Callithrix jacchus: one gene and its partners. The protein of the gene in region 3 purifies or fractionates together with the protein of the main gene of each other region. This does not show direct contact. Links are inferred from orthologs where the notes say so. Each region holds a gene or a part of one and is shown on either strand. Other genes may lie near its edges. The genes, in order: MYCBP2, HSP90AB1 and LGALS3BP.

Region 1 (3,655 bases), on a different chromosome or scaffold from region 3:
TCCATGCATCATACAATGAAGTCTAAATCTCCTCTTCCCTTAACTTTGCAACATTTAGTGGCTTTTTGGGAAGACATCTCTTTGGCTACTATCAAAGCTGCTTCCCAGAATATGATTTTTCCAAGTCCTGGTTCCTGTGCAGTTCTTAAAAAGAAAGAATGTGAGAAAGAGAATAAGAAGGCCAAAAAGGAAAAAAAGAAAAAAGAAAAGGCAGAAGTTAGGCCCAGGGGTAATTTGTTTGGAGAGATGGCCCAGCTGGCAGTGGGAGGACCAGAGAAAGATACCATCTGTGAACTCTGTGGGGAGTCACATCCGTACCCGGTGACCTATCACATGAGACAAGCCCACCCAGGTAAAGGATACTGTCCAATGTACATAAAAGTACTTTTTTCTTTAATGAATGGGATCACTTCATTTGAGCTGTTCTATGAATTATATCAAAGGATAGAAAGTTTATAGTATCTTAGAACGTCATTTTTAAAGTACATTATCCATACAGGGTTTTGTGAAAAACAGATAAAAGAAATTCTAACAGTATGATGGCCAGGTCATTTAGTGCTATTTTACTTTCCTGTAGCATGTTTCAAAAAATTTTATGTGTTACACAAAGGGTGCCGTTAAGGTGTCTGTCTCACACAATAGAAACAATGGCATGACCGTACCCACAGGCCATCTCCTTTTATTTTAGTATTTTCCTGTTCACAATTGCAGACTAAATTAGATTATACTGATTTTTGTAGGCTGCTTCCTATGAAAGTGACATTGATTGATAAGAAGACTGCATTTTCAGTAAATGTAAGGATTTCTGTAACATTGATCAATAGTCCAAATTCACCTAGTACAAATTTGGTTAATTTTTTTCTTTGTCTACATATTATACCTCGAATGTTTTATCAATATGTGATTTCTGAAAATATATCATTGTTATAGAACTGTTATACTTGTTTTGTCTCATTTTATTGACATAATTAAGTATATCTAAATGTACCTGTATCCTATCTTTTTTTTAATCATTCTGAATAGAAACTAAGTATCTCTAATATTTTGGGCATCATTTAATTGATTGCTTTTGATCAGGTAACCTATTTTTCTGATATAGTTAGTAGCCTGAAAATCAGGTGTCTACTTGAGTATTTTGCTTTCTTTGAGACGGTCAATCTGTCATTAATGTACGAGTAGTAAGGATTAAACTATTAAGGCCACTTCGAGTGTTAAATATTTATTTTTGTTATTGTTTCAAGGTTGTGGCCGGTATGCTGGTGGACAAGGATATAATAGTATTGGGCATTTTTGTGGAGGATGGGCTGGTAACTGTGGTGATGGTGGCATAGGAGGAAGCACGTGGTACCTGGTATGTGATCGTTGTAGAGAAAAATACCTCCGTGAAAAACAGGCTGCTGCAAGGGAGAAGGTATTTGATTCCATTCGGAGCTATACTTTTAATGATATGGATACACTTTATAAAAATCGCATTTTGTGATCTTATTATTACGTCAGATAATTCCACATAGTTGATATTAAAGATCAGCTTCTACAGTGGAAATCATGTATAAATTTAATATTTGTACTAAGTCACCTGTTCATAAGTTTAAAAAATAGCTATATATTGGAATAACACTAGATAATTAACCTGTGCTACATACGCCTTATTGACAAATATGTGTTGTACCTCTTCATTATTGTCTGTTACTCTCTACATATACAGACCCTTCCTTTTCACCTTCCTTCTCTTTTCTCTTCCTCTTTTTTTGACTCCTTTATTTTCCTATTTCATATCTATTCTCTCTTTTCCTTATTCACCTTAGTGGCATACCTAACCAAAAAATTTTGCTGAATAACACACTAAGATGATTTACTCTTTTTAAAATGAATTATTTTTAGATTTAACTGGTTAGGTATTATATTTTTCTGAAGAAAGTAAGGAAGCATAGTTTGTGTTTGATACAAAATAGTCTCACTCAGCCCAGGACAAATATGAAGTAAATGTTGTCTTTTATAATCTTATTATTTTAAAATAGTTTTACAAGTGTTCAATAATTTTTAATGGGAAACTCAAAATACTTAGCTTAGGAAACCAAGGATTTTAATGTAAGTCAGGAAGGATCACTTTGATTTTTTTCTTTGCCAGGTCAAACAATCCAGGAGGAAACCAATGCAAGTCAAGACCCCCCGTGCCTTGCCCACCATGGAAGCTCACCAAGTGATTAAAGCCAACGCACTCTTCCTGCTGTCCCTGAGCAGCGCAGCAGAACCAAGCATTCTGTGTTACCATCCTGCAAAGCCGTTCCAATCTCAGTTGCCCAGCGTGAAAGAAGGCATTTCTGAGGATCTGCCTGTGAAAATGCCCTGTCTCTACCTGCAGACATTAGCTAGGTAATAAAATTTTGGTTTTTCTTTTTTTTAATCACCTGTGGATTAACGGTGATTGTTTACTGACCTACACTTCATTAGATGTGGTACTATAAAGAAACTTCCAGGCATTTGTTTGAGTTTCCTTGACTGACATACGACTTTATGGTAATAGGTATTTTAAAAACTATAAAAATGCTTCATCAATTTGCATTGTTACGAATAAAAAATATGTCTTAGAAAATAAGACTGTAGCTATCTTTTACTCTTTGGTAGGCTGACTTCAGTCTGTTAGTGGGAAATGCTGAAGTAGAAAGAAAGTGATGTTTCCTGTAGCAGACTTTTATTTTGTAAATTATTCATTCTGTTAGCATTTAAATGAGTACCAGTATTAAATTAGCACCAGTATTGTGCTAATGAATGAATGAGTATAACAAAAAAAAGGTCCTGAATGAATGAATATAACAAAATCCTGGCTTCTGTGTACTCATACTCCGATGTCAAGTCAGGCATGTCAGTGAAACATTTGAAATGCTGTGTGAGAAGTGCTACAATAGAAGCATGTATGTAGGGTGTTAGGATTTTGAGACGGTCTGTTCACAGGATCCTTAACTCTGGTGTCTTGAGGTGCGTCCTGTGACATCCTCCAGATGTTTTCTTAAACCCCTTCTCCTTACACTCCTTTAGCATTTCTGTTCTTCCCTGCCATTGTCCCATTTCCTCCTTGAGAGTTGGTCCATTTCTGAAACATTGGTGGGGTGCCCTTCAAAGTCTGTTGGGCAACAAATACTAAGCCCTGTAAGGTCAGCAAAAGGTTAATTGGTTTCTGTATCAATCTATTTAACAACAATTTTTAACATTCAATCTATTTAACATTCAGTTTTTTGAATGTGCGGTATATTAACGTCCAGAAGTAAAGATAGAGGGTAGCTACCCTTCTCTAAGTAAGTTCATGTAACCCTGTGAGGGTACCCATCTCCCCCGGGATGGGAGGTTCTTGGCCTCTCTAACCCCAAAGAATGGAGAAAGGGGGGTTGGAGGCGCGGTGACTTTGCCTTTCAAATAAATATCGTGGACCCAAAGAGTTTTGTTGAAAAGTGATTTATTAGACAAAGAGAGAAAGAAGACCACTCCCACGCTGTCATGGGAGGGGACCCCAGAGAGGGAAATCCTATAGGTAAGGAGCAGCTGAAGTTTTAACCCTTGAATTATTCCCTCCCCATTCATGTTCTCGTCCAATGAGAGAAGTTCTTTCAAACTTCCTCTGGAGAAATTGATCTTTGACATCAGATTGGCTACTTGGTAC
Region 2 (2,677 bases), on a different chromosome or scaffold from region 3:
GCCAAGGCAGGAGAATCACTTGAATCTAGGACTTTAAGGGCAACATAGCAAGATCTTGTTTCTGCAAAAAAAAAAAAAATATTAAGTGGCCATGGTAGCATGTGCCTGTAGTCCAGCTACGTGGGAGTGTGGCTTGAGCCTGGGAGGTCCAGGCTGCAGTGAGCTGTGATCCTTAACATTGCACCGTAGCTTGAGCGACAGAGCCAGAGCCTGTCTTAAAGGGAAAACAAAAGCAAATTCCTATTTGTATTTTCAGGCCTTGGACAAGATTCGCTATGAGAGCCTGACAGACCCTTCAAAGTTGGACAGTGGTAAAGAGCTGAAAATTGACATCATCCCCAACCCTCAGGAACGTACCTTGACTTTGGTAGACACGGGCATTGGCATGACCAAAGCAGATCTCATAAATAATTTGGGAACCATTGCCAAGTCTGGTACTAAAGCATTCATGGAGGCTCTTCAGGTATGTGCAGTTTTGCAGGCACACACCATTCATATTTGTCAGTGTGCTTTGGTTTGTTGCTTTTCGAAAACTTGTGTTTGACTTTAAATAACTTGTTGGCAGGCTGGTGCAGACATCTCCATGATTGGGCAATTTGGTGTTGGCTTTTATTCTGCCTACCTGGTGGCAGAGAAAGTGGTTGTGATCACAAAGCACAATGATGATGAACAGTATGCCTGGGAGTCTTCTGCTGGAGGTTCCTTCACTGTGCGTGCTGACCATGGTAAGCTCTCCCGTTACAAGTTAAGCTGGGTTGGAGTTTTCTGGGCTTGTGAAGTGGCAGAAATTTTTAGCATCCTGTTTGTAAAGCAGTTGAAATTATAGCAGCCTCGCTAATATACTTTTTTTTTTTTTTTTTTGGCTTGGTGAAGTCTTAACTGCTTTTATATTTTCACCCTGTTACATGCTTGTGACTGACTCTTGTAGGTGAGCCCATTGGCAGGGGTACCAAAGTGATCCTCCACCTTAAAGAAGATCAGACAGAGTACTTAGAAGAAAGGCGGGTCAAAGAAGTAGTGAAGAAGCACTCTCAGTTCATAGGCTATCCCATCACCCTCTATGTGAGTGTGGACTTTTAAACCTTTTTCACTTAACGTGCAGGGTGTTTCCTGTTCTGGAGTCATCATGGGCCCTGGCTTTTGCTTTCCCTGTTAGTGGTTAGTACTCAAGGCTAACTTTTGTTTTTGTTGTTTAGTTGGAGAAGGAACGAGAGAAGGAAATTAGTGATGATGAGGCAGAGGAAGAGAAAGGTGAGAAAGAAGAGGAAGATAAAGATGATGAAGAAAAGCCCAAGATTGAAGATGTGGGTTCAGACGAGGAGGATGATAGTGGTAAGGATAAGAAGAAGAAAACTAAGAAGATCAAAGAGAAATACATTGATCAGGAAGAACTAAACAAGACTAAGCCTATTTGGACTAGAAACCCTGATGACATCACTCAAGAGGAGTATGGAGAATTCTACAAAAGCCTCACCAATGACTGGGAAGACCACTTGGCAGTCAAGGTGAGAAGCCCTTGCACATTGGCTCAACATACAAATATGGAGAGGAGTGAGTAGGTGGCGTTTTGGCAGGTAATAGACACATGGAACTTGTCCTCCTGATCACAGAAATGTTGAGAACCATGTGATTTCATTGATTACCCTGTCACAGTGAGGAGCTATCCTTCCTAATGACCTCACTTTGTCTTCTGATGGTAATCTTGGTAATGTCTGCCCCTGATCATTGAGAGCATTAAGGCTCGGTTTTCTAGAGAGCTGCCTGTTGTGTGTGCTTTGTCCTTTAGGCTTAGGGAGGATCATTGTTCCACTTTTAGGTAATTTGTTGGGGCTAAAAGGCACTCTTTGGAAATGTACTACTACTTGTTTATGTTTGGATTCTTTCAGCACTTTTCTGTAGAAGGTCAGTTGGAATTCAGGGCATTGCTATTCATTCCTCGTCGGGCTCCCTTTGACCTTTTTGAGAACAAGAAGAAGAAGAACAACATCAAACTCTATGTCCGTCGTGTATTCATCATGGACAGCTGTGATGAGTTGATACCAGAGTATCTCAGTGAGTATGTCCTTGGCATAATTTAGTTGGGTGAAGTCTTGGGGCAAGGTTTTCAACATTCTGCAACTAAAAAGTCTTATTCCTAGGTGTAATAGTTCTCTGCAATACATAGTGTGTGAGGGTTCAGGGGGCAATAGCGCCTTCTCTTTGAATCTGGGTACCAGGTCTGGTCTAGCTGTTTTTACTGAGTTTTCTCATCCTGGTTGATGGCAGACTTTATCCGTGGTGTGGTTGACTCTGAGGATTTGCCTCTGAACATCTCCCGAGAAATGCTCCAACAGAGCAAAATCTTGAAAGTCATTCGCAAAAACATTGTTAAGAAATGCCTTGAGCTCTTCTCTGAGCTGGCAGAAGACAAGGAGAATTATAAGAAATTCTATGAGGCATTCTCTAAAAATCTCAAGGTAAGGAGGCACATGGTTATTCCCTTTACCACTTTCTTAGTAATTACGATAAATTCTACCATTCTTATAGAAGGCAAGGTTATTTTAGTTAAGTTGGATTGTTTTTTTCTCTTCCCACTCTTCAAGCTTGGAATTCACGAGGATTCCACTAACCGTCGCCGCCTGTCTGAGCTGCTGCGCTATCACACCTCCCAGTCTGGAGATGAGATGACATCTCTGTC
Region 3 (3,095 bases):
CCCCCCCGAGGCCCACCCATTGCAGCCCCCGAGGCCCACCCCTTCCAGCCCCGAGCCCCACCCCTTCCAGCCCAGGGTCTCACCACTTCCAGCCCCGAGCTCTACCCCTTTCAGCCCCCCAAGGCCCACCCCTTCCAGCCTCGAGGCCCACCCCTTCCAGCCCTGAGGCCCCACCCCTTCCAGCCCTGAGGCCCCACCCCTTCCAGCCCCGAGCCCCATCCCTTTCAGCCCCGAGGCCCACCCCTTCCAGCCCCGAGGCCCCACCCCTTCCAGCCCCGAGGCCCACCCCTTCCAGCCCTGAGGCCCCACCCCTTCCAGCCCCGAGCCCCACCCCTTTCAGCCCCGAGGCACACCCCTTCCAGCCCCGAGGCCCCACCCCTTCCAGCCCCGAGCTCTACCCCTTCCAGCCCCCGAGGCCCACCCCTTCCAGCCCCCGAGGCCCACCCCTTCCAGCCCTGAGGCCCCACCCCTTCCAGCCCTGAGGCCCCACCCCGTTCAGCCTCGAGGCCCACCCCTTCCAGCCCCGAGCTCTACCCATTTCAGCCCCGAGGCCCACCCCTTCCAGCCCTGAGGCCCTACCCCTTCCAGCCCCGAGGCCCACCCCTTTCAGCCCTGAGGCCCTACCCCTTCCCAGCCCCGAGGCTCACCCCTTCCAGCCCTGAGGCCCCACCCTTTCCCATCCCGAGCTCTACCCCTTTCAACCCCGAGGCCCCACCTCTTCCAGCCTCGCGGAACCAGAGCAGCTGAGACCTGGCCAATCCTGTCCAGATCCCCGCTAAAGGTCCTCTGCTGCGTTCTGCTCCCTCGGATTCAGGCAGCAGTCCCGCCTGGGGACTTGGTGGTGCTGACTCGGAGCCCCACTCCCCAGCCTCATTCAGTCAATCACCACAGACGCTGCCTACCTCAAACCAAAACCACTACCTGCTTAGATGGCCTGAAAAGTCAGGGTCCTGTGGCAACCCCATTTTAGAACTCTGGGGGTCCCCAAGCAGCCTCCTGTGAGGCACAAGGCCTGGAGAAGTCATGGGAGGCTCGCGGGTCGGGAGTCAGTGTGCTGCACCCTTCCCCCTTCTTTGAGCCCTCTCAAAGCCTAACTCAAAACTAAATCCCATAAGTTCTTTCTTTGCCACAAAGGCTTTAATAGATTTGAAGTAATTGTGAGGTTTCAACCAGGTGGGCTCGCCCTGGGCCTCCTCACACCTGAGGCCCCAGCTCCCTCCCACCTGCTCTTCACCACAGCTCCCCTGCCACAGGAGCCTTTGCCCTGCACCCACGGCCCCACGTGCTCCTCCCACCCGCCTCCCCCCACCGAACCCCCGACAGCCCCATGGTGTCTCCTGGGCTTCCCCCACTGTGAGGCCAGGCTCAGCTCCAGCTACTTGTTTGTCCCCTGTGAGCACAGGGGCTCCCTGGGATTCGATCCCTCCTGTCTTAGGGGCTCCTGACAAAGGGTAGTGGGTGGCAAGCCCAGGAAGAGCCACCTCGGCAGCAGGAGAGGAAAGAAAACCATGAAACTCAAATCCAGCCGGGTGCAGTGGCTCATGCCTGTAATCCCAGCACTGTGGAGGCCAAGTTGGGTGGATCACCAGGTCAGGAGTTCAAGTCCAGCCTGACCAACATGGTGAAACCGTCTCTACTAAAATACAAAAATTAGCCAGGCTTGGTGGCAAGTGCCTGTAATCCCAGCTACTCAGGAGGCTGAGGCAGAATTGTTTGAACCCAGGAGGCAGAGGGCAGAGAGCTGAGATTGTGCCACTGCACTCCAACCTGGGTGACAGAGTGAGACTTCATCTCAAAAACAACAACAAAAAACTCAGATCCAGGGGCTTTAGCCTGCAGAGCTGCCTGGGTTCCCTGCAAATCAGGGTGGGTTGGGAGAAGCAGGCTGCGGCTGTCAGTAACTGGGCCTCCTCTGCCAGGATGCGCTTGAGCCTGTCACGCTGGGGAGTGTTTCCAAGCGGGCACTGGCATTTCAGGTCAGGTGGAGCCAGGTGTCGTGCTCACTGGGGCTGTGTCTCACTGCCTCCCACTCAGGTTCCTTGGGGTGTTTCTCCAGAAGGGGCTGGGGAGGAGTCTGGGCCTGGGGGACTGGGAGCTGGTGGGCTCTCTGGATTCAGGGCCTCTCCATTCGGAGTGGGCAGGTAGTGGTGGAAGGAACCTTTGTGTGCTTCACGTGTGTTGGGGAGGTGCTGGGAGGGGCAGGGGCCACAGGCCCCCAAGGCATGCTGGAACCCCCCACTCACCGTTGGTGCACACCACACCAGCGTCCCTCTCGTGCCTGCAGTTGCTGTGCAGCCAGCCCAGAGATGTGCAGTCAGCCAGCGAGGGCTCAGTTCCCGTGCACTGGACCTCATCCAGCATGATGGGGCCCGATCCTGTGGACGCAGCAGATGGCAGGGCTGGGGGCCTGAGGACTGCACCCAGCAGCCCCACAGCGAAACTCAGCCCTTTGTTCCCCGCGCCGGCCGGGCAGGTCCTTCACCGGTAAACCATGGTGGATATTCCAGCGTGGGTTGGATTTGTGATTGCAACGTCAGGCCATGAACTTAGCCTTCATGCTTATAAAGCTTACTGGCTGCTGCAGACATCAGATTCATGTGTTCTAATTGTGTGCCTATCCCTGCGACATCAGGTTCATATACTGCAATTGTGTGACTATCCTTGCTGCTAAATAGTGGGTGGATTATTTCTCTTTTTCCCAGAATCGCAACTGCTGCATCAGTGAAAATCTTCTGCCTACAGACTTCTCTTTTGAGGGGAAATTGTTTCAAGAATATAAACTCCCTGGAGTGGAGTTTCAGGGCCAGAGCAAATGAGCCCAGCTAAGGTCTTGAACCTGCCCAAGCTCCAGCCACCATCACAAGCCAGGCATGGGTGACACAGTTCCATTGGAGCAGGACCCACAGGGCTTCTGCGCCATCCAAAGTGTTTGCTTTCAGGCTGGGTGTGGTAATCCCAGCACTTTCAGAGGCCGAGGTTGCAGATCACTTAAGGCTAGGAGTTCAAGACCAGCCTGGCCAGCATGGCAAAGCACCGTCTTTACTAAAAAATACAAAAATCAGCCAGGTGTGGTGGCAGGTACCTGTGATCCCAGC

Evidence for each region.
Region 1: the proteins of LGALS3BP (region 3) and MYCBP2 purify together in Homo sapiens (co-immunoprecipitation; 3 studies listed by BioGRID and IntAct, counting the BioPlex papers as one, with this or other methods). This does not show direct contact. The link is inferred for Callithrix jacchus from reciprocal best matches to the Homo sapiens genes LGALS3BP and MYCBP2.
Region 2: the proteins of LGALS3BP (region 3) and HSP90AB1 purify together in Homo sapiens (affinity purification with mass spectrometry; 3 studies listed by BioGRID and IntAct, with this or other methods). This does not show direct contact. The link is inferred for Callithrix jacchus from reciprocal best matches to the Homo sapiens genes LGALS3BP and HSP90AB1.

Annotation. Positions count from the first base shown.
Region 1 is NC_133502.1:38,207,451-38,211,105, forward strand, and holds part of MYCBP2 (E3 ubiquitin-protein ligase MYCBP2), read left to right. Parts: coding exon 1-352; intron 353-1,241; coding exon 1,242-1,411; intron 1,412-2,128; coding exon 2,129-2,373; intron 2,374-3,655. UniProt on the Homo sapiens protein: Atypical E3 ubiquitin-protein ligase which specifically mediates ubiquitination of threonine and serine residues on target proteins, instead of ubiquitinating lysine residues.
Region 2 is NC_133505.1:52,714,836-52,717,512, forward strand, and holds part of HSP90AB1 (heat shock protein HSP 90-beta), read left to right. Parts: intron 1-256; coding exon 257-463; intron 464-565; coding exon 566-725; intron 726-928; coding exon 929-1,062; intron 1,063-1,196; coding exon 1,197-1,505; intron 1,506-1,886; coding exon 1,887-2,052; intron 2,053-2,265; coding exon 2,266-2,456; intron 2,457-2,582; coding exon 2,583-2,677. UniProt on the Homo sapiens protein: Molecular chaperone that promotes the maturation, structural maintenance and proper regulation of specific target proteins involved for instance in cell cycle control and signal transduction. Undergoes a functional cycle linked to its ATPase activity.
Region 3 is NC_133506.1:134,722,205-134,725,299, forward strand, and holds part of LGALS3BP (galectin-3-binding protein), read right to left. Parts: intron 2,376-3,095; coding exon 2,244-2,375; intron 1-2,243.